Linked DNA regions of Cricetulus griseus. The protein of the gene in region 6 purifies or fractionates together with the protein of the main gene of each other region. This does not show direct contact. Links are inferred from orthologs where the notes say so. Each region holds a gene or a part of one and is shown on either strand. Other genes may lie near its edges.

What was found.
Region 1: the proteins of Nfkb1 (region 6) and Nfkbib purify together in Homo sapiens (affinity purification with mass spectrometry; 7 studies listed by BioGRID and IntAct, counting the BioPlex papers as one, with this or other methods). This does not show direct contact. The link is inferred for Cricetulus griseus from reciprocal best matches to the Homo sapiens genes NFKB1 and NFKBIB.
Region 2: the proteins of Nfkb1 (region 6) and Lrpprc purify together in Homo sapiens (affinity purification with mass spectrometry; 3 studies listed by BioGRID and IntAct, with this or other methods). This does not show direct contact. The link is inferred for Cricetulus griseus from reciprocal best matches to the Homo sapiens genes NFKB1 and LRPPRC.
Region 3: the proteins of Nfkb1 (region 6) and Spag9 purify together in Homo sapiens (affinity purification with mass spectrometry; 5 studies listed by BioGRID and IntAct, with this or other methods). This does not show direct contact. The link is inferred for Cricetulus griseus from reciprocal best matches to the Homo sapiens genes NFKB1 and SPAG9.
Region 4: the proteins of Nfkb1 (region 6) and Aurka purify together in Homo sapiens (affinity purification with mass spectrometry; 4 studies listed by BioGRID and IntAct, counting the BioPlex papers as one, with this or other methods). This does not show direct contact. The link is inferred for Cricetulus griseus from reciprocal best matches to the Homo sapiens genes NFKB1 and AURKA.
Region 5: the proteins of Nfkb1 (region 6) and Copb2 purify together in Homo sapiens (affinity purification with mass spectrometry; 5 studies listed by BioGRID and IntAct, with this or other methods). This does not show direct contact. The link is inferred for Cricetulus griseus from reciprocal best matches to the Homo sapiens genes NFKB1 and COPB2.

Annotation. Positions count from the first base shown.
Region 1 is NC_048602.1:7,104,054-7,108,175, reverse strand, and holds the start of Nfkbib (NF-kappa-B inhibitor beta), read right to left. Parts: upstream 2,867-4,122; 5' UTR 2,788-2,866; coding exon 2,609-2,787; intron 103-2,608; coding exon 1-102. Other genes in the region: Sirt2 (NAD-dependent protein deacetylase sirtuin-2), read left to right, coding at 3,216-3,231, 3,995-4,041. UniProt on the Homo sapiens protein: Inhibits NF-kappa-B by complexing with and trapping it in the cytoplasm.
Region 2 is NC_048598.1:86,392,212-86,395,809, reverse strand, and holds part of Lrpprc (leucine-rich PPR motif-containing protein, mitochondrial), read left to right. Parts: intron 1-2,042; coding exon 2,043-2,161; intron 2,162-3,598. UniProt on the Homo sapiens protein: May play a role in RNA metabolism in both nuclei and mitochondria. In the nucleus binds to HNRPA1-associated poly(A) mRNAs and is part of nmRNP complexes at late stages of mRNA maturation which are possibly associated with nuclear mRNA export.
Region 3 is NC_048600.1:107,038,363-107,041,301, reverse strand, and holds part of Spag9 (C-Jun-amino-terminal kinase-interacting protein 4), read right to left. Parts: intron 1,122-2,939; coding exon 1,006-1,121; 3' UTR 1-1,005. UniProt on the Homo sapiens protein: The JNK-interacting protein (JIP) group of scaffold proteins selectively mediates JNK signaling by aggregating specific components of the MAPK cascade to form a functional JNK signaling module.
Region 4 is NC_048599.1:6,971,008-6,975,178, reverse strand, and holds the start of Aurka (aurora kinase A), read right to left. Parts: upstream 2,839-4,171; 5' UTR 2,700-2,838; intron 824-2,699; 5' UTR 819-823; coding exon 777-818; intron 1-776. UniProt on the Homo sapiens protein: Mitotic serine/threonine kinase that contributes to the regulation of cell cycle progression.
Region 5 is NC_048597.1:207,021,109-207,025,366, reverse strand, and holds the start of Copb2 (coatomer subunit beta'), read right to left. Parts: upstream 2,826-4,258; 5' UTR 2,680-2,825; coding exon 2,677-2,679; intron 1-2,676. UniProt on the Homo sapiens protein: The coatomer is a cytosolic protein complex that binds to dilysine motifs and reversibly associates with Golgi non-clathrin-coated vesicles, which further mediate biosynthetic protein transport from the ER, via the Golgi up to the trans Golgi network.
Region 6 is NW_023276806.1:23,885,684-23,889,281, forward strand, and holds part of Nfkb1 (nuclear factor NF-kappa-B p105 subunit), read left to right. Parts: coding exon 1-50; intron 51-1,745; coding exon 1,746-1,835; intron 1,836-3,261; coding exon 3,262-3,450; intron 3,451-3,598.

The DNA.
Region 1 (4,122 bases), on a different chromosome or scaffold from region 6:
CCTAGGTCATTCTGCAGGTCCAGGTACTCAGTGCCGGCGGAGAAGCCCAAGAGGAAATCCAGGAAGGGCTCATGCTGATGTATCACGGCCAAGTGCAGGGCCCTGGGGACAGAGGCAGAGGTCAGTAAACACGAGTGTCTACTGTATGCTGCAAACTGTAGCCATAACTGGAAACACTTCAGTGTCCCGGAGAGCCAGGGACAGGAGCGAATCCAGCAACTTCCTTTGTCTGCCTGATTGGTGTTCTGAGATAAGACAAGGGTCTTCATAAACTACCCAGGCTGATCGGGAGTTCAAGTTCTTCCTGCTTCGGCCTCCCGAGTAGCTGGGCTGACAAGCCTGTGACAGCAGGTCCAGCTACCAACTTTGTCTTACCAGTGTTTATTTTAAAGAATTTAGCTACCTGTAGTAGCTCAAATTCCAGCACCTGGGGAAGGTGAGGCAGAAGGATTGTTACTTCAAGGCCAGACTGGGCTACATGGTAAGTTCTAGACTAGCAGGGCCAAATACTAAATAGTGCAATTCTGTCACAAAAAAAACAAAGCCGGGTGTTGGTGGCACACGCCTTTAATCCCAGCACTCGGGAGGCAGAGGCAGGCGGATCTCTCTGAGTTCGAGGCCAGCCTGGTCTCCAGAGCGAGTGCCAGGATAGGCTCCAACGCTACACAGAGAAACCCTGTCTCGAAAAAACAAAACAAACAAACAAACAAACAAAAAAACCAAAAAACAAAACAAAAGCAAAAACAAAACCAAAAATGGTGGCTTGTGTGAAAGAGGCAGAAGCTGGTGGATCCCTGTGAATTCCAGGCTAGTCTAGTCTGCATGGTAAATTCTAGGTCAGCCAGGACTACATTGTGAAACCTTGTTTCAAATAATAACAACAACGTGTAGAACAATTGAGGTAGACAGTGAACACCAATCACTGGCCTCCAAACACAAGCATACTTACATACACAAAGACAAACAAACTGGGTATGAGAGCCCTAGCCCCAGCTTCTAATTTTAGTACTTCCCAAGCTAAGGCAGGAGGATCACAAGTGTAAGGCTACACAGTGAAGGCCTGACTCAAAAAACAAAATACAAAAAAAGTGGAAAACTAGGGCAGGGGCTGGGATGTGGGTTGGGGGTGCACCTGCCTAACATGTGCAAGACCTCAGGCTTAACTGGCAGCAACACACACACACACACACTATGGCTCCAATAACAAACCTTCAAATTACATAAAGCAGCCAGGTGTTGGTGGTACATGCCTTTAATCCAACACCGGGGAGGAGAGTTCCAGGCCAGCCTGGTCTACAGAGAGAGGCTCCAGGACAGGCTCCAAAGCAATACAGAGAAAATCTGTCTCGAAAAAAGCTAAGGTTCTCCGGCCAGCTAACCTAGCCGATGTGTTGAGTACTGGACCAGTGAAAGACTGTCTCAAAACAAAACAACCCAAGGTTATCCTCTAGTCTACACACACACCCTGGCTGAGTATAATGATGCATACTTTAGAGGAGGATGAAAAATTGAAGGCTATCCTCAGCTAAACAGCAAGCTCAAGGCCATCATGGGCTACATGAGACTGCCCGACCCCCCCAAAAAAGGAAGGAGGAGAAAGAAAATTACAAAATTCAAATCTAAAAGTAATCAGAATAAAATAATAAAGGAACAAGGACCAATAACATAGAAAGTGAAAAATAAGAAAATTAAGGAAATTACACCTGGTTCTTTAAGAGTGCTTATTATGTTCCCTTCATGGGTCAGGCACTGAGTCATTGGGCACACGCAAAAAGCACAAAGGACAAAAAATCCCGGGTACAATCCCTTGCATAGCCCTTCACCACAGCTGCCCTTCTCCCCAGTCAAATTTTACAATTATTTTTCAATCTCCCTCTCCTTTTTCCCCTCTTTTTCTTTTCTTTTCTTTCCTCTCTCTCTCTCTCTCTCTCTCTCTCTCTCTCTCTCTCTCTCTCTCTCTCTCTCTCTCTCTCTCTCTCTCTTGTTGCTGTTGTCGTCTTGTTTTTTGAGACAAGGTTTCCCTGTGTAACTAACTACCTTGGCTGTCCTGGGACTCACTCTGTAGACCACGCTGGTCTTGCACTCACAGAGATCCGCCTGCCTCTGCCTCTGCAGTGCTGGGATTAAGGGCGTGCGCCACCACGGCCGGGCATCACTTCAATTTCTTAATTGCAAATCAATGCTGGAAGTGTCAAGAGTCGTAGACTCAGGGCCAAGGACTAATTTTGGGAATCAAAATCTGGCTTATACAAGAGTAGCTACGGATCAAAAGCCACATTTGGAAGCAAGAGGTCAGAATTCGTGGGAAAGGTCTGGGGGGACCGGGTTGGAAAGGTTCAGATGCGGTATGGGGACCCATGGTAAGGATGCGGATTCCAGGAGCACAAATTTACAGTTCCAAGAAAGGCGAGACGCTTGACCGTGGGTGAAACCAGACTCACAACTTAGGATTGGGGGTGGGGGGAGTTATGTATGGGTCAGGAAGGCTCGTATCGGAAGTCAGGGGTAGGAACCAGAAGGTAGTAAGTAAGTCACAGAATCACAAGCCGATGGAGGCTCAGGTAGGATCCCGGGGCTCCGTTTGGTAGGTAATTTAAGGTTTACTCACGTGTCCCCATCCTCAGTGACGTAGCCAAAGACCAGGGGCGCCCACGACAACTCCGGGCCCAGCTCTGCGCCCAGCCCTGGTCCTCCGGGAGCCGCCGCGTCGGGACCCAGGGAGCCTAGGCCGCTGTCGCACCATTCGTCGACGTCCGCGCTTTTCCCCAAGCACGCGACCCCGGCCATGGCCCAGCCACCTCGGTGGCCCCCTGTGGTCGCCCGCCCGACGCTGGGCTCTGCGGTGAGCTCCAGCGCTTCCGCCCTGCCGGGAATTCCCCAACACGCCCCCTCATCTACCCAATAAAAACAAGCTAAATGGCTACGCTCCGCCCCCGTGCGTCGCCAGAACCAATCAGGATAATGAGATGCACGCCGGCTCTCTGAGTTTCCCCACTTTTTCCAGACGCCCTTTATCAATATGGCTTCAGGCACCAGGCCTTTTGGGATTTGTAGTTCTATGCCACGAGCGGCTCGTCGCGCGAAAGGGTTTGCTGAGGACGGCGTGGGCTGCCGGGAGTTGTAGTCCTCTGGCCTATCTCGGTCCCCTCTTGCTTCCGGTGCCGTCACGGGACAGAGCAGTCGGTGACAGCTCCGAGGGCCCCCACCCCGCTCCCATGGCCGAGCCGGATCGTGAGTCGGGGGCCCAGGTGGGAGGGTCGGGCCGCGCCGGGGCCTGGCTTTGGGCTGCAGGCCCCGGGGCCCGAGGACAGGCTCGGTGGGGTGGGAGGAAGGGGCTGCACGAAGGGAGTGGGATTTGGAGGGCCGTTGCTAAGTGGTCGGTGTTGCTAGGTTGGTGGGATTCTGGGTTGTGAGATTTCTTGAAGGGTCCGTTTGCCAAGTTCTTAATGATCGCGTTTCTCGCACCTTGGTTGCTGAGAACCCTCGTTGCTAAGGACCAAAGTTGCTACGATCCCGGTTGCTAAGGTTATCTGGTGTTAGGGGCAACTGTAGGATGTTCGGGAACCCCTGCTGCCCCTTTCCATCTCATTCCTTCAGTTCCTGTGTCTCTCCTAAACCTCCTGCCTCCACTCCATCTCCTCTCCCACACTCAACTCCAGCCGAGGTATCCCCATTTCCATCTCTTGAAAAACTTCGCCCTCCCTCTCTCTCCTGGCTGGCACTCACACTACCGCGTCCTGCCTGACTCTGAAGTCTTCCTTCAGTCCTGTCGCACCTGCTTTCTCCTCCTAAACCTCCCCCTCAGCCTTTCCACCTCACACATGTGTCTTCCACTCTAAAATATGCCTGTCCCCGTCTCCGACAGTTTTACTACCGTCCCTGACTCCAGGATAACTAGGTTAGTGGGTTCTCTCGTTGCCTCCACCACTGTGAATCCTTCATCCCTTTAACTGCCCCCCCCACTGTAACCACGTCTGCTCCCCCTCCTCCCCAGCCTCTGACCCTGTGGAGACCCAGGCAGGGAAGGTGCAGGAGGCTCAGGTGAGATGGGGAAACGGGTTGGAGGGAAGGAGAGAGATGGACTTGGTTCCACATTCCACACTGGGGGGAGGTGGCAAGGGG
Region 2 (3,598 bases), on a different chromosome or scaffold from region 6:
TTACTGGTAATCAGAAAGAGTATCTCATAAAAAGATGCTTTTAACAGAAGTGCCTCCCCCTTGGGGAAACAAAAATGGTCTTTTTTCATTTTATCTCACAGTATAATGTGCTTTGGAATGAGATGCAGAGTTGTTAGTGTGACATTGGGTGACAAACAAAATGCACAAACAACAAAAAAAGTGCTTTTAGCAGACTTTCACATTGCAATTTTATTTTAAATATATAGTTGTCTTCTGGTTTAAAGGAAATAGTGAAACAAGTATTCCCTAATTGTTTCTGGTTATAAAAGTCTCTGAATCCTTTTTAGAAAAGTCTTTGTGAAAACAATATGAGTTGATTAACTCTTTGTATATCCTCCAGTTCTGAAAGCATGGAGTCACCTTTAACCTAGTATTTCTGTAGCACAGAACACTTAAGCATTGATCAGATGCTTGGGCATGTTAGTATTCTTTATCTTTATACAGGTAGGAAAATACTTTTGGTGCCTTTTGAAATGTCTGTGTATCAGGTAAGTTTCCTGATGACACCGTATTGTAATGTCTACCCTTTCAGTTGGCTGCTACATTAATTGTTAGGAACCATAAAAGAACAAGACTGTTTCTAGCTAGAACTAGATGGGTTTGTCGTACATCTGCCTTTCCTTTGAGGATGCTGTGCTGAGAGCTCACATTATATTAATGAGGGAACCAAAAGCCAAGGGCCGAGGGACTGGCCACAGATGCTGTCACTATGTCAGGGTTCAACATCATTTCTGCATGTTGGTAATACTGCTTCATGTCTCCGCCACTCGGTATCTGTTACACTGACTAGTAACATTCTCTGTCCCTTGGAAATTACAAATCAGGTTTTAGATTAAGGATATCTGAAAATCAAGAGCAAGATTTTTAATCCAATCCAAGTTTTACTTGGAAAACCCCAGAAGACTATGGATTATTGGAGATGCTGACTTGATAGTACAAGAGTGTCAGTTGTCCTTCAGCATTTAAAACCATCTGCACTCTTTAGACCTCCTCTTCTGGGGGTCCTGAAGATAGGAAAGTGTGCTATGTAGCCTTGCATGGAACAGTTAAGGGGCTGTATGCTTTTGTGTAGTTTCTGTCATGGCATGCAGGGCTAGATAGAAAGCCACATTCTCATCAGTGAAATGAACCAGCTCTTTTCCGGTTAACGTCCAGTATAAACTGGTAGGATGATGTTGATGGATGCCGAGGCTGCAGCTGCTCAGGAGTGCTTGCTTAGTGAGGAGTGAGAAGAACCTTGGGAAATGAAGGTCAGAAAAATTTGAAATGAGTTTTCAGTAACAGGACAGTGGCATTGCTGTTGAATTTGAGGCATGGATTTCACTGTCACCAGCCTCCAACAAGATTTTTTGAGACCTCTTACTGCCACTCTTCTCTGTGGCATGAATAGAAAAGTCACTATGTAGAATATTTTCAGTAAGCAGGCATAAATGAGAGAAGCTGGGAATTGGGACCAAACTTCCTTTGATGTAGTTTGGAAGCATAAAGATACGAATATACAGGGTTGAGCTGAGCATAGTGGCGCACGCCTTTAATCCCAGCACTTGGGAGGCAGAGGCAGGGGCATCTCTGTGAGTTCGAGGCCAGCCTGGTCTACAGAGGAGGTGCCAGGATAGGCTCCAAAGCTACACAGAGAAACACTATCTTGAAAAAAAACAAACCAAACCAACCAAACAAACAAAAAACAGAAAGACTATGAAGGGGTTGTTTGTAGATGGATGTGTGGAGGGCAGCCCTGAAAGTAAAAGTGTTAGTTGAGTCAAGGGTAAAATAGAGGGCCTTATTTTTCAAGAAGTAGAATTTTGCCTCCAAATAAGGTGAAGGTATTTGATTGATGACAGGCAGTCTCAGGAGGTGAGAGTGGCACAGGTAAATCATGTCTGCTTCCCTAGAATTTGGATTATTTCAATTGCTACAGTGTTTTGTTTTTAGACAAACTGCTGAGGAATAACCAGGTTAACCTCATGACTTCCCTGAATGCTAAGTTCTTTATCTCTGTCCTGCTTTGTTTTATCTCCTAGGAATAATGGATATCCTGAAAATAATGACTGAATTGGGAGTAGATCCTGATCAGGACACATATGTAAATTATGTGTTTCCATGCTTTGATAATGTAGCATCATTTCGAGCTGCTTTGCAGGTGGGTACAAGTGTGCCTTTAATGGCATAACTGAAGAAAATACTCTTTCTCCCTAATGTTTCATTGTCATTAAAAAAAAAAAAAAAAAGCACCACTGAGTGAAAAACTAAAAATGGTCTTGTATATACAGTTCTGATGTGTTGATAAGACTATCCTGATACAGAAACATTGAAGATTCACTCCTTGGTCTCACCAAGGAAACTGTAATTTTCATTTTTTTTAAAATAATTTTTTTATGAATTTTCCTAAATATATTAATAATAGTATATTTGTTATTCTGTATTTGAAAAATAATCTTTGTTGGGCTTTGAAACATCGTGTTCCTGCCATGCTTTTGACCGTACCAGATGAAGCAAGGAATTGTGAATGTCATTTGTAGGGTTGGCTTTGGAGCTCCCCAGGTAAGAGCACTTGCCATTCTTGCAGAGGATCCAGATTTGATTCCCAGAATCCACCTATAACTCCAGCTCCAGGAGAGCTGACACTTTCTTCTGGCCTCTGTAGGCACTAGGCACATGAGGTATATAGGCATGAATGCTGGCAAACACACTGACACATAAAAGAGTGAAATAGAAAATTAAAAAGAAATTCGACTTGCACCATACAAGAATTACATTTTTAAGCCAGGTGATGGTTGCACACACATTTAATTCCACCACTCAGGAGGCAGAGGCAGGTGGATTGCAGTGAGTTTGAGACCAGCAGGACAGCTAGGACTGTTACACAGAGAAACCCTATCTTGAAAAACAAAACAAAACAAACAAACAAAAACAAAAACAAACCAAAAACCCAAAATTGGGAGTTATATCTTGAGTGGTTTTACTTTTACCTTCCTCACTTCCTTTTCAGGGGCAGATAGGGGCCTCCAGGGCACTGGCTAACTTCTGACCTTTTGTCCCCACCTCCTGTGTTCTGGGACAGTAGGCGGCATATGTTAGTATGTTGGGTTTTTGTTTTTGGGGTTTTTTTTTTTTTTTTTTGGCTTTTCAAGACAGGGTTTCTCTGTATTGTTTTGGAGGCTGTCCTGGAACTCTCTCTGTAGACCAGGCTGGCCTCGATCCCCCTGCCTCTGCCTCCCAAGTGCTAGGATTAAAGGTGTGCGCCACCACCCAGCTTACCTGTTGGGTTTTTTATGCTGTGCTAGGGCCCAAGTCCAGGACATGGTGTCTGCCCAGTGAGCTAGCTCCATTCCCCAGCTCGCTTTAGTTCTCAAAAGCAGCTATTAACCTCATGCTGCACATGCTTTATGTTAGACATTACTGGTAAACAGTGGCCTTCTGCATAATTTATCCTTTGCAGAAATACAGCCTAAGGTTCCAGTGTAGTCCTGTGACTACTATTGTTTTTCCAGGACTGTTTATCTCTTTTAGGAGAAAATTATACCTAAATTGTAAACTTGCCTGAATTTTGATTACTCCTATTCTTATTTCGATTACC
Region 3 (2,939 bases), on a different chromosome or scaffold from region 6:
AATCTTCTTAATTATTCTGTATTCAGCTAATTAGGTTGAATCCACAGCCACCACAGTGTCCCCTCCTTAACAGGTTAGGAGCAGCTAGGAACATCTGGCTAATAGGTACTTTTTTCCATGGAAAAAACTCAATCAACTACCACCATCCTCTAGGACAAGGAGTACAAAACACAGTTTCTTCTTAGAACATCCTTCCAGTATTGAAGTGTCCTCTACGCTTCCCAGAATATTTCCTAAACTTCAAATAATACATTTCTTAAATGCTAGTATGAAAATCGGTGAAACTAGTCTAAAAAATGAGACTATGCAGAGAAGCAGGCTTCATAAACTTTAAAGTTCTAATGAGATAGGAACAAGAAATTTTATTTAAATAGTGGAGCCTTAATTTCTTTAATATAAAAACCCCCAAATCTGATGAAAACAAAGTTTTATATACCATATAAACAAGATTTGTCAGAATTGAAAGTGAAAGTTAAAGGAATTTACAGTTAGCTTTTAGCCCTCTTGGGACATTTAGATAAATCTTGATAATCCACCTGTTATTAGTGTGTCAATTCTATAATACATTGGGGAAAACTCTATTGTACTTCATGGTACAGTTTCATTTATTAAGTCTTTTCCATTAGTTCCATTATTAGTGATAGCTAAAAAGTGACCTTATCAATTACGTGAGTGACATTAGACTGTGGCAGAGCAAACCACATGTGGATTGCTTTCTGTAATTCACTAGTTTGCAGAAAGTAAACATCCTTTGATTTGTTCATGATATACTGAAATTGCCTATTAACACTGTGCAGTAAACTAGCTTGCTCTTCCTCTGTATTGTTACCATAGGACAGATTTTGTAATATAAAGGTAACCCGGAAAAAAAATGCTCACATATTATGTGGTGAAATGTCTTTCTCAAAAAAAGAAAAAAAAAAAAAAAGAGAGCGCCTTAAATAAGGGGGAAAATAAATCATGCAGAAGAGGCAGCTTCCTCATCTCCACCTGTCTCTTATGGACTCATTCATTGCCGCACATCACTTGCCACACTATCAGGTGACTCCTTTCTGCTTTGGTGACCGAAGGTTCCAGTGGAAGATCCTCTCCAAGAAGTTCAGATTCTCCACCTTCATCACCTAATGGATCATAAGGAAACTGAAGTTAGCTTAAGTGCAGAAAACAAAGAATGATGTGAACTGGACTAAATTAGCCCATGAATATGATGCTCAAAGCTTGTTTGACTTCTGGTGCATAGAGCACAGGAAAGAATACCAGGGGGCTGGAGAGATGGCTCAAAGAGTAAGAGCACTTGCTACTCTTCCGGAGGACCTCAGCTTGGTTCCCAGTACCCATGCTGGGCAGCTCAAAACCATCTATAACTACAGTTCTAGGGGATCTTATTTCCTCTTCTGACTTCTAAGGGTTCACACACATGTATTCGTGCACACAAAAATGAAAAAATAAAAAGTAAAGGAAGAGTCAGGGGCCAGTGAAATGGCTTAGTGGGTAAAAGCCTTTGCCACCACATGGTGAAAGGAGAGAACATATTCATGTGAATTGTCCTGGGATCACCATATAATATAGCATAGTGTACATGCTGCGCACGCGCGCGCGCGCACACACACACACACACACACACACACACACACACACACACACACACACTAAATGTAATAATGACAAAAAAAGTACCAGTCTGAATCTTCATTCAAACCACTGACTGATTTCTGGAATCCCTTTTTCCTTTCATTCACGAGAGCTAGTTCATAATTATGTCTGTTCACTAATGATAATAGAAATGGGAGATGGGAAAAAGCAAACATATCCAGTTCTATTTGTTCAAAATGGATATTCTACTCTTGTTTATTTCAAACTGAGAAAGCACAAATATGGAACATACTAACTAAGGCCCAGGATGTCATGCTGATTCTTGGGGACCAGGGTAAAGTTCCCCAGCTGAGACACTGAGCATTGAATAGGTACCGCTGCTCCTGTCCACAAGCTTGCAGTAGTCAGCTCTGCTGTTCAGAGCAAGGTTATTCTGGTACAATCTAGCTGACAACTTGTTTAGTGGGATGAATTCTTCAGTGGAATCCTAAAAATGTGCACACTAAGAAACAAAGATATTTCACTGATATACTGGGATTTTGTAATGCTCCCATTTGAGTTTAGCAGAAGAAAATGGCACCACTGACTAGAAATAGAGGGAGAGAAGTAACTGAATGTATGCACTTCTCTATGCAAGCCATTTTCCCTTAGCACTCCCCCTCCCCAACTTTTTCACAGCAATGTCAAAATACAGAGTGCACACTCAGGTCAAAAGTCAGTTTCTCTAACTAAAATATAACCATATATTTAAGAAAAATAAGTTTGGATGGTTTGATTTTGTTTCTAAAAGTTTTATTTATTTTCATTTTATGTGTATGGGTGTTTGCCTACATGTCTGCACACCATGTGCATGCGGTACCTACGAAGGCCAGACGAGGTTATCAGATCCTATGGAACTGGAGAAAACCCCCATGTGGGTGTTGGGAATAAACACGGGGCCTCTGGAGGAGCAGCCAGAGCTCTTAACCACCGAGACATCTCTCTAGTTTCAAGTTTGGCTCTTAAATTTAAAAAATTTACCGGGCCTGGAGAGATGGCTCAGTGATTAAGAGCACTGACTGCTCTTCCAGAGGACCTGGGTTCAATTCCCAGCACCCACACGGCAGCTCACAACTGTCTGTAATTCTAGTTCCAGGGAACACAACACCCATCACAAAACACCAATGCACATAAAATAAAAAAAAAAAAATTAAAAAAATAAAAAATTTACAATGAGCCAAGTGTTGTGGAGTATGCCTTTAATCCTGGCACTCTGGAGGCAAAGGTGGGCAAAACCCGAGTGAGTTCCAGGCCAGCCTGATCGGACAGTCAATTGCAGCGCATAATTTATTTCAAAAAACAACACA
Region 4 (4,171 bases), on a different chromosome or scaffold from region 6:
TGGGTCTTACTCTCTGCCTCACTCATGGGAGCTGTGTCACCATCTATGCCTCCTTGCTCCTATTGAGATGTTTTTGGAGACCCACGGACCATTCCTAATCGGCTACTGTTGCAGTACTACCAGGTGTTGGCCGTAGAGCTGGAGGCACAAGACTACCAAACATGCCCAGTGATGCTGTGGTGACGGGAAAGGACCAGGCGCTTTACGCCCTAGGGTGTTGATTTGGATTCACCAAGAACGGCATTTTGCCAGGTTCAGGAGGCACCTTGATGGTTCCACAGAGCCTGGACAGTGAAGTGAAACAGCCAGCTACTCCAGGACATGGCTAGCACCCCAGCTTTCCTAGGTCCCCCAAAGATGAACGATGCCCCCCAGGTCAGCAGGAAGTAGTCTTGAAAACACAATGGTCTCATCCCCACCTCACCTGCTACCCCTTTCTAATGACTCATCTTTTTATAATAAGAGGGAGGAATATTAGTATTTAGGCATCTATCCTTGGCCTGTTCTGACAGGATACGCCCTCAGCTGCTGTCAGCTCCCACCCTTCTTTCTTTCTTTCCCTCCCTCTCTCTCTGCTGGTGCTCCTGTCTCCCCCTCCCCTATTTATGATCTCTTTCCCTAATAAAAAGCCCTTCTCTGCTTGAACCCTGTCTCATGCCATCTTTCTTGAAGGCTGCTTTTCTTAAATTACAACAATGGGTGCACACAAACAAAATGCATTTCATTTCAAAACAACTTTTCAAAATTCAATTGTGATTACAGGTAATTCTTTTTACCTTAACAGGCCTGGAAACACAGTTTTCTTTACATCTGTCCATGTCACCTGAAGAGAGAAACAAGAGCCTTTCATTGACAGGAAGCCACGTACTGCTGTGCTCCGCAGTCACTGCCTCTGACAGACAGGCCTCTGTGACCTGCAACCTCACACTTCCCACTGACAATCCTGCACCCAGCTCCTCACATCCTCTCATTCTCTTCCCTCCTGGGCTTGTTCTTTCTGCTCTAAAACATGATGCCCAGCATATACAGCCTGCTTGGGTTACCCATTTGCTGCACAGCTACCCCAGGCCATGGTCCCATCTCCCATAACCCTTGAACAACAAAGCTCACCTACTCTTTTCCCAAGCCATTCCCATTGGGCCTTTTGAATCCCACGGTATTGCCAGTCTCTCAGCTTCCCCTACGGTGGCAAACCCAGCACTAACTTGATTCCTGGGGAACAGGTTTCAGCCAATCACATTTGCCCATTTCCCAGTTTATCTATTACCTTGCAAGCTGTCACTTCCTACCCTCCTGGCTTGGCCTCATTTTTTCCCCTAATCCCAGTCCTTCGCCTTCTCATCTACATCAGATGACCTTCACAGATCCCATTCAGCCAAGATTTACAACTCCATGTAAGAAAAGTTCTCCTGACACAGCAGGAATCAGCCTTGGGCTTCCCTTTTCAGATACGGGTTGCAGTCAGGACAAACACCTGCTTGCAGTCAGGACAAACACCTGCGTGTTATTGAAAAGCCCCTACTGCAAAGATGGGGGAGGCTAGGCAGGAGATGGAGGCATTAAGTGAAGGACTGGGGCTGTACCCACCTCACCTGTAGGAAGCCTGTAGGAAACGGAGCCCTGGGACCAGATGCCAGCTTGGCTAAATGACCTGCATTTTAGCTTTCCCATGATTAGCTATACCAGGATCCTATCCCTAAGATATTTCTATTTCCTACATTTGCAGTGGAGCCAGGATTTTGTTTGTTTGGTTTGAGATGGGGTACCTCTGTGTAGCCCTCCTAGGTAGTCTGGAACTCAGAAGTCCTTCTACCTGCTCCCAAGTGATGGGATTAAAGGAATTTGGGACCATATCAGTCTTGTATTTGTTTTTGAGACAGTGTTTCATGTAGCCCAGGCTGGCTTTGAACATGCTATAATGGAGGATCACTTTGAACTTCTGATCTTCCTGCCTCCACTTCCCCAATGGGAATTACAAACATGGTCACCGTGCCCAGTGTATGCAGTGCTAGGATTTGAATCCAGGGCGTGGTACACAAGAACTACATTCCCAGATAGGCCTCACTTTTGGGAAGGGCTCTCACATTGTATCGGAAGCTAGCTTCAAACTCAAGGCTACCCTCCTGCCTCAGACTGCTGATGTGAGCAACCACGCTGGGTGTGGGGATGGGGAGATGACTTATTTTTGTTTTTTTTTGTTGAGTCAGGGTCACAGTTCAGGCTGGCTTCCGATCTGCCATGTAACTTGTGATCCGCCTGCCTCCACCTCCTCACCATCGGAATTAAAGGCGGGGGCTACCATGATGGTTTAGGCAGTGCTGGGGGCCGAGCCCGGGGCTTCCGGAATATTCTACAAGCTGAGCTTCCGCGGGTCTACACCGACACCGACTGCTCAAAAGGCTGCGGTGAGGGGGCAGCACGACCCCGGGCGTCTCTACAAGGGGACCCCCGCCTGGTCCCCACTGAGCCGCAGTTGCTTCGTCCATACCACCGCCATCGGTTTGCAAATCACCCGGTATGGCCGGTGGTCCGGGTCCCATTCCCACCAGAACCTAAACCCAAGGAGGGACGAGGCCACCTGGATCTCCGCTGCACCGATGCGAGCCCCGAGAGACAGCCCGCCACCCCCGGGCCCCTCTCCGCCCCGCGTCGCTCTGCAGCGCCCAGGCTCTCCCTGGCCCGCCGGGTCCCCTTCCTACCCCGGGGCAGGATCGCGTCTCCAGCGAAGACTCCAAGCGATTCCAGGAGCTCAGCCGTTACAATTCAAAGGTTCTCCTTTGAAACAGGAGTTAAACCCTCTCCTCCGGAAGCTGATTGGCTGGAGGCGAAGCGGCGCCGTCCTGTGATTGGCCCGCCGTGAACGCGACGACGGGAAGCTCGTTCCGGGCCGTAGCCGGGGCGCAGGCGCACTGAGCCGTCAGCGCCCGGAAGTGGTGCGCCAACGGCCTGTCCGATCTGTGGCCGTTCTGTCGTTCGCCGTGCTCCCCAGGATCGGGCGTTTGCCGGTCACACAGCAGCCCTTCGGGTTCAGGGTTGCCGCGAAGGTGATCAGCTCGGAGGAGGTGAGTGAGCGTCTCGAACGTGCCAGTGAGTAAGATGGCGAGAAGGGCAGGCTGGCCGAGTGAGCGGGAGGGTGCTCGGCGCTCGGCTGCCTGCCCTTGGCGCGTGCGCAGTGGGCGTGCGCTCGGAGCGATCGATCGGGCACGATTCGCGCCTCCATCTTTCCAGAAGAGAGCGGGAGACCGGGACCCTGATCCGGGGGTACGGAACGGGCTCGGGTGGCAGGCGCAGGGAGACGGGCTGGTGCGGGCGCCGGGGGCTGGCGTGGAGAGGGCCCGGAGCCAGCGGAGAGGGTGGCGGGAGGCCGGACGCCCCGGAGCCGAGCGGCCCGGCCTGCACCCCGAGCCAGCGAGCGAGCGAGCGAGCCTCGGGCCTGGGTCCCGGCGGCTCCCTGCTTTCCCCTCCGCCCGAGCGGGGTGGGCCCCCTGCAGCCCCGGGCCGGGCTCCTCCCGCCCGCCCGTGCTTCCTCCCGGGGACTCGGGTGAAGGCTCGGCCGCCGCCCCCCCCACCCCCCTTTACACCTCGAGACCCAGCCCCGGGCGTCCCTGGCGGGAGCGGAGGCTGCGCGGACCGGCCCTCACCCTTGGGGGCCGGCTGTAGCCTGACCGGGTGCCCTGGAAACTTTCTGGAACTCGTGTCACTCTCTGTCGAGTCCCAGTGTCTCATGCAAGGGTTAGGCTTGTACACGCTTATTTCTAACGTGAAGTGCACGAGTCTCTGGATGCCTGCGTGTCGAGATTAATGCCGATCGGGTGCTCGGGGTCGTCGTACCCGGCGGTAGCAAGAGCTCGATGAGTGGTAACTGTTGAGGTCTCCCGACAGTGCCGTGCTGTGTGTGGCCTGGAGGGTCCTGCTGCTGCTGCTGCTGCTGCTGCTGCTGCTGCTGTTGTTACTGAGCCTAGGGCGTCTGGCAGGCTTAGCAAACACTGTAACCCCTGTCTGTAACCCCCAGTCCTCCCCTCCCGCTGTTCCCAGATTCCGATAGCCAAACTCTAACCGCACACGTACTGGTAATTATCAGATTATTTGCCCAAGTTGGTAACTGAAGCCGGCGTCTTCAGTTGCGTTTCATGTTCATGGACTGGAGAGCTTAAATCCTTCCAAGTAAAAC
Region 5 (4,258 bases), on a different chromosome or scaffold from region 6:
AACCAAACAGAAAATGATTTGACTGATTGTTTTCTGTTTCTCCCAGGGATGCCAACACAGAAGAAAAGTAATTCATTATACAATGAGACCCTGCAGCAGTAGGTCCCACTCTCTCCTATGGGCTAGTTTAAAATGCATTTCCTTTTCAACAAGCCTAAAGCACAACCTGAAAGGATGAGTTACTGTGCTAGCTTCTTTGAGCTGTTCCTTAACAATCATGAACGGGACAGAAATTTAGGGTTACTTTTCAACACATGAGGCTCCAACAGAGGTAATATCTGAAACAAACACCTAACAAGGCTTTTATTCATCTCTTTTTGGATCTCTGTCAAAGGTAGGTCACTGCCTACTTCTGTTCTTCAGTTAGCTCCCTGACTTCCAACTACTGTTTTCAAAGCTCACGTTCTAACTCTTCAGTGCCCTTGAGAACACTTCACTGTCAAGTGTTCCTATCCATCTCAAACTTATTCAAGCCACCATCTTTAAATCAGGAAGGCAGAACCTTCTCAATGACTTCTGAATTTTTGCCCAGCTTACTACTGTCACAAATTTTAACTTCTTCCTGTCATTGTAGTGTCAACAAACAGGAAGTATATTTAATCCAGGAACCATAAAGGGATCTTTCACATAAGCCAACACATCCAAGTATATACATACAAATAAATATTTTATACTAACAATGCTTTAAAATTGACCAAAATGGTCAGGGATCTTTGAAAAACCCAGTATAGCTTCGCATACTCCAAAATAGAGACACTACTTTTAAAATGTCCATTACTGCAGGCAAGAGCTCCTATAGTTATACTTACCATCCCAGTCATAACTTTCAAAAGATACTGTAGCAGGTCCTAGATGGTTAAAGTACTCACAATGCATCCTCAACTCCAGTCTTGGTTTAAAAGCCACCGCCATCAATAACCTAGCCTAGCCAGAAGGATTCTTCCCCAATCACGGTACATGTGGGCTTCTTAAGGGCAGGATCATTGCTTATGGAGGTCCTTCTCTCCACACCTCATTTATTTGGGAATGGTGGGGAGGAACAGGTGGCCTAACTGAGGTCCACAGTCTTGCTACATCAAACCTCAGCTGCATACTTGATTAGACATGGAGTAGCAGGTTTACTTAACCTTCCAGGTTTGACTTGTATAAACAGGGATGATAATAACAACGTCCACCTCTTAGTGTTTTGAGAAGTAAATTCAGAGTTCAGTTACAGCAGTGCAGGGCTTATAGTAACCATCTCATAAGCATTACTCGTAACTATCTACAGGCTGCTCTGACAGTTTAGCAAAATGCAGGACAGTAAATACTCCTATGGTGAGTTGGCAAATGAACAGATTCACATTTTGTGCTTTCTACTTGAGACTTTTAAAATAAAGTCATCCTTTGGTGTCTGTGGATGGTTCCAGCACCCTCCACCAAACCAGAACCCTTGGTTGTTCAAGTTATATAAAATGGTGTGGTATTTGCTTATAATCTACACATTACTCCCTGTCATCTCTAGATTAGTTACAACACCAATACAAGGTCCAAGAGTTGTTACACTATACTAGTTAAGGAAAAATCAGCAGAAAAATGCCAGTGCGTGATCACACAGTATTTTTCCCCAAATGTTTTCCACCCAAAACTGGTTCAATCTGTGGGTGTGGAACCCACATACAATAAAGAATGAAAGCAATATTTCACTATTAAAAATGAAATTAGGCCAATCCAAGCGCAGTTTCCAAAATGTCGTTCTCTCTGAGCCCAGAAGGCCCAGTCAACACGAGCTGTTTAATATAAAGTGCTGTGATTTCCATACAAGGTTTGTTGAGGTGGCTCTCAACTTTGGGGACCCGGTAAAGTACACAAATGAGGATGGTGTGGGAGGGGCTGGAAACACTAAATGTTATGCCAAACTCTTTCTCCAAGAGGTTTTTTGGGAGTAGCCATGCTCCTCACCAGCCAGTCCTTGTTCTAGTTTTCACTTTTCCATAACCTGCTTTGTGCAAACTTAAAGTGTGTTTTAAACCGTCAGGTTAGGGACTTGGAATTATTTCTCCTACAGTCGTCAATCACCAAAATATTTGATCATGTGATCCATAACAAATAAAATAGGCAAAAAAATGTTCAAAAATAAAATTCTGATTTTTTTCTTAATTTTCTTCCAGAAAAGATATCCTCATACTTTTTCATTGTAACAATCCTGTGCAAAGGCATTTTGGGTCTCGTTACAGCGTGACGGCGATGATTTTTTAAAAAGTACAGAAACACACATCAGCCAGTTTTAAGAACAATTCCCCAATCTTTCTTTGCCCCGCCAAAGCATTTGAAATGCCACCTTTGACTCCATATGCATTTGACTTTCTCGCTCTGCTTAAGTTTGCAATCTGGGGTCTGCACGCTACCAGACACCAGCTTAATGACAGAATGGCGTGAGTTTTGTCAAAGTTGCCTCTGGCACTGACTTGCGCTACTAGACCCGGTCAGTGCACACGCCGGGTGCACCGACAGGCACCCTGGCTGCCAGGAGAGGCAGCAGCCGCTCACTCGCAGGCCCCAGGCCGGGCCAGCCGCCCAGCAGAACTCCAACAGGACCCCGCCAGGCCGCGCCTCACCACGGCCCCCAGCCCGGGAGCCCCCGGAACCTGCCGCAGCCCGGGAGCTTCGCTCTCTGTCCCGCGGGGCCCGACCTACCATGGCTCCGACTGTCCGAGCCCGAGCCTCTCACAGGCTCCCGGCGACTCCGGTCCTGAAGAACCCACCGACCCGCGGACCTGCCGACCCACTGACGTGGAACTTCCGGGAAGCGGTTCTCGCGATACTCGGAACCAGGCTGTGCGCCTGCGCAAGATCCCGGTAAGGCGGTCCGTGTTAAGCCCCGCCCCAGTTTCCAAGGTAACGCGGCCCTCTGCGCCTCCCGCTGCTGAGCTGGCTCAAGTGCAGCGCTGCGACCCGAGAAGGGCGTGGCTCTCAGCGGCTGTGGCCGCTCACCTTCGATCAGGTTCAGAAAGCCAAGAAGGAGCGCTGTGCTGCATGACTGCTGAATGCCGGCGGCAGCGGAGGAGCCCGGAAGCTCTGTCCGACCAGTTCCTGCTTCTGGCGGAGAAAACAAGGCTCTAGTAGGCTCCGGAACGAGGCCCAGAGCTGTGTCTGGATCTTGGATGACCATGGCCCAGGCCTAGAAGCTGTGGGCGGGAGTGATTGCCCCTCAGAGAGCACCCACCCTGCTTTTGCTGGGCTGTGTGCCTTCAGCTGACTGTAGCGTAGGTGCTTTCCTTTCAGATCTTCACGTGAATCTCGGCTCGTCTCCATTTTATTGAGTAGGAAACTAAGGCTCAAGGAAGTTGTGTGTACTGGCCAAGACGGCCCAGGAAGTAATGGTGTTAGGGTCTAGGCTCAGAGGATATGCCCTGAGAGCTTTGTGCTCTATCTACTACGCCAAAGGAGCTCTGTATTAAGGTAGCTGAATTTTAGAAAGTACCATGTCATAGGGGTTTCCAAGAAAAATGCAAACGCACTGTCTGCCGATGACACACACACACACACACACACACACACACACACACACACACACACACACCTTTTTAAAATGATAACACTATACAACGAGTGGAACGAAAAGTCTAGGTTTCCAGAAAGGAAGTGTGTAGACTGGGAGAGGGAAGCATAAGTTTTTATCAGGCAGCTCCTGGTTCTTGTGAGACTTAGGGGCCTCTGTTTTGGATAGTTTACAAATTTCCATTTTTACTATTCTGTATTTCAGTAAAAACAAATTTCCTATCAGTAGTGAGATTTTACACAATTGAGCCGAATAATCACATACATTGCATACTGTACAGCAACCAATTGCAAAATTAGTTTATTTTTTTTAGATGTGAACTGTATCTACTGTGGTAGAATAGTGGGGCTTCTATTATTTTTTATTCCTGAACTCTTGTTGCATTCAAGAGGGTGTATTTTGATTTGATACAGTGCCAAAAATACAAATTAAAATAATATGTCCATTCCCCGGGATCTCAGTTGACAATATTTGAATATATATAACACCAGGCACCAAAGATTTATGTAGTTCACCTTGTTGGAGATTCAAGCCCCGAAGTATGGTCTTCATTTTGTGTCTTAACTAGTCTTTCTCTGCCACAGTTCACCAACATTAAGTTCTAAAATTGTGACCTGTAATCAGCTCTTAGCAGGGACATGGTGGCATGTCCCTGTCATTAAAGCACTTGGGAGGCTGAAGAGACAGAAGTTCAATACCAGTTTGAACCTCTCTCTC
Region 6 (3,598 bases):
CATGTTCGGTAGTGGCGGTGGTGGAGGGAGTACCGGAAGTCCTGGCCCAGGTACGAGAAGTGTCTTCTATCTAACGCCTTTTCATGTGGGTGAGGGCACGGTTTTCTTTCCCCGGTTTCCAGGCATGTCTGCTGCTTGAGGGGCGGCAACATTACTAATTATGAGATTTCCAATTAATTTCCAATTAATAGAAGTCTTCCTACAAATGTCAAATTTTTCAAAGAAATGTGTGTTCATCTTGCAGTACAGTAGCTGTCCTCCCCCATCCAGTTTCACTTTTTGTGGTTTCAGTTACACGCGGTCAAGCTTCAGTCTAAAAATACTACCATTGTCTCGACGAGAGAGACCACATGCACGGAGCTGTTATTACAGCCTATTGTTACAACTGCCCTGTTACTATGAATTATTGTTGTTCATCTCCTGTCTTTTTGCACTGTGAACTTTACCACAGGTCTGTGTGCAGCTGCAGTTTTAGGGGAGTCTTGAACCATACATCTCAGGATAATATGTGGGTAATCTCCAAAAGTCTGAGAGTCCACATTTATCCAGAAGATGCCTTTCCCAAATGAGTTTTGAGTATCCTCCCCCCACCACACTTTTTTTTTTTTTTTTTTTTTTTTTTTTTGGTTTTTTTGAGACAGGGTTTTTCTGTGGCTTTGGAGGCTGTCCTGGAACTAGCTCTTGTAGACCAGGCTGGTCTCAAACTCACAGAGATCCACCTGCCTCTACCTCCCGAGTGCTGGGATTAAAGGCGTGCGCCACCAACGCCCGGTCCACCACACTTTTTTTAAGAGGGTCAATTGTTCTGTTATTCTGGGAGACATTCAAACAACTCTCATACCTGTTCCATGGTAGATGTGTGTTATAGTCCTCTGCATGGCACTGCAGACTGCAGATTACACTGTAACACATTGAGTCACAGAAAATCCTACCTCTGCAGGGTTAGCAGGAAAGCACTGTGATGGTATGTGAACGAACTACTTCTAATTTTGACACGCATATATTACAGTCCGTGCTTATGAGCTTCCGGGTATGGCTGTGATCCCCATGCATGGCTTTTCAACCATTAATTTATTTAGATTTATTATCATTACACCATGTTTGTGGGTGCAGAATGATGGGTTTGGTGTTTGTTTCTGATGTTAACTTGAGCACTTCTTCATGGTAATACAGGTCTTACAGAGCATCATTGGGTATCGTGTCTAATGACCCATACCAGATGGAGTGACAACCCTATAGCACAACTGACTTGAATGCTGTTTCCTGTTTTCTGTGTGATATGCTTTGCTGAGCATGGCTTTCCTTTTATTCCAGATAACTTGTAAATGCTTCAAACTGTCACATCAGAGTGTGTGAAGGCTGCTCCTCTGAAGAGCTTTATCACTCTTCCACCAAAAATAATGAAAATGAAAGTGGTAGCCATGTTTCCCATCAGTACATTATTGTATTGGGGTTTCTCACCAGGGTCATCTTATTGAGCTATTTTAATGTAGCTCTAAGTCTTGGCCTGACTACTTGCCGTTGCTTTTCCCCTTTGCCTGGGCGGAAAGAAGCTTCTCAGTATTAACTCCTCCAAGCTGCCAGTCTGAGCCCTGCCTGTGTTGCCACAGGGGAACTCACCTGTCTTTTTCCCACAGTGCATCCTGCTAACTCTTGGGCGAAGCCTGTGTAGGCTGCTCCCCCGAGTGTGTGCCCCGTCTGTTAACAGCCTCTCTGATGTTCCCTTTGTCTCGTTGCTGGCTTAGGGTATGGCTTCTCGCACTACGGATTTCCTCCTTACAGTGGGATCACTTTCCACCCTGGAGCCACTAAATCCAACTCTGGGATCACCCATGGTAAGTCAGACGAACACCAAGAAGAAAAACACAGGGACTACAGCATCATCGTTAAAAGTTTTAGAAAATAACTTTCCAATAAATTAATATTTTTGTATAATTCTAGGACAGCATAACACATATTTCTAACATGTATTTATTCATTACATTGCATGAATGGAAGTAGGGCAGTGGTGCAATGCAAAAAATATAGGCTTAACTACCCAAACATAAAAATACCACCTTTTCTGTCTTTTCACCTCAAATACGATCCTTTTGAAATCAGTTTTCAGTTTGTAAGGTTGGCCGTTTCCACTCCCATGTATCCTCTGAGTACCTGTGCTTAAAGTCTGCTCATAGTCTACAGGAAGGGATATTCTTTTATGCCATGGAAATTATCCTATAATGCCTTTTCATATGTAGTACCTGTTCATGCCAGATGCAGACATCACTGTAACCTTTTTTAAAGATTAACTGACATTGTAGTTTTCCTATAATCAGCTAAAACTCACCCTACAAAATAGAACTATTGTTCCCATTAACCATGACTTCATGACCCCTGTGCAAGGAGAACACAAGACTTGGCCCTGTCCAGACAGAACATGGAGTTCAGAAACTTTTATTTACTCTCTGAAGACAGCGCTAGTGGCGGTAGAACTGTGGTAGTTTTGTACCAGGTTTGCCCAGGAGTCTTAGGTACCCTTGTTGTACCTGTCACATAACAGTTCCAACAACAGTGTGACTGAACATGGAGTGTGGGAGCCCCACCAGGCCAGACTATGAGTGGAGAGAGCTCTCACAGTTTCCCTTGTTACTCCACATTCAGAAAGAAAAATAACTACTTTCAAGAACTTTCCATTTGTTCAGCATGTAGAACTTTATCTCATTTTTCTCTTTCACAGATAAACAAAACAAGATTCATTCACTGTTTTTGTTTGAGAAAGCATGGCACTGTGTAACCTTGGCCTTGTGGTGCTTCTCCTGCTTCTGTCTCCTGGGTGCGAGTGAGGAGATTATGGGTTTGAGTAGCCGTTTCTGGCTGCAAAATGAGATGGGAGTTTTTGGAAAATGAGCTTTAAAATGTTCCTGAATACTTAAAGTATTACCAAAACATGCCAGGGTGTTGTGGTGCACACCTTTAATCCCAGCACTGGGGAGGCAGAGGCAAGAGGATCTCTGTGAATTCAAGGCAATGTGGTCTACATAGTGAGTTTGAGGCCCACCAGAGCTACACAGCAAGACCCTGTTTCCAAAAGTAAATAAATTAATAAATAAATACATGGAAAATATGTCCAGAACATACTATTTATGTTATGAAGATTTATACCTTTCCATTTTCAACAAACCTGCCTTCTTTCTTTTCTCTGCCCTGTGTTGAAACTATGAGTTTTATAGTTTGATGAATAGATTTTATTAAGGAAAAGATAATTTTTTGCATTTATCCTAGGAACCATAAACACAGAATCAAAAAATAACCCTAAAGACTGTGACAAGAGTGGCGACAGAGAGGCTCTGAATCTCTCTGAGAAGGAAACAGCAGGACAGGATAAGGAGTCTGGCGTGTCCAGCACCAAGAGTGATACGGTTGCACTGTCATTCCCCATGGAAGACAAGGAATGGGGCGCTGGCTTTCGGGGTAGGTGAGCGTGCCCACAAGGGTTTCCACGGGCAGCTGGGGCGGGTGACCCTCTAGGTACAGGAAGCTGTCTCCAGAGCATGGGTTTCCTTCCTGTTAATCTAAAGAGGGTGGGTCAGCATCTGGTCTGAGTGCTCTGCAAGGTGCC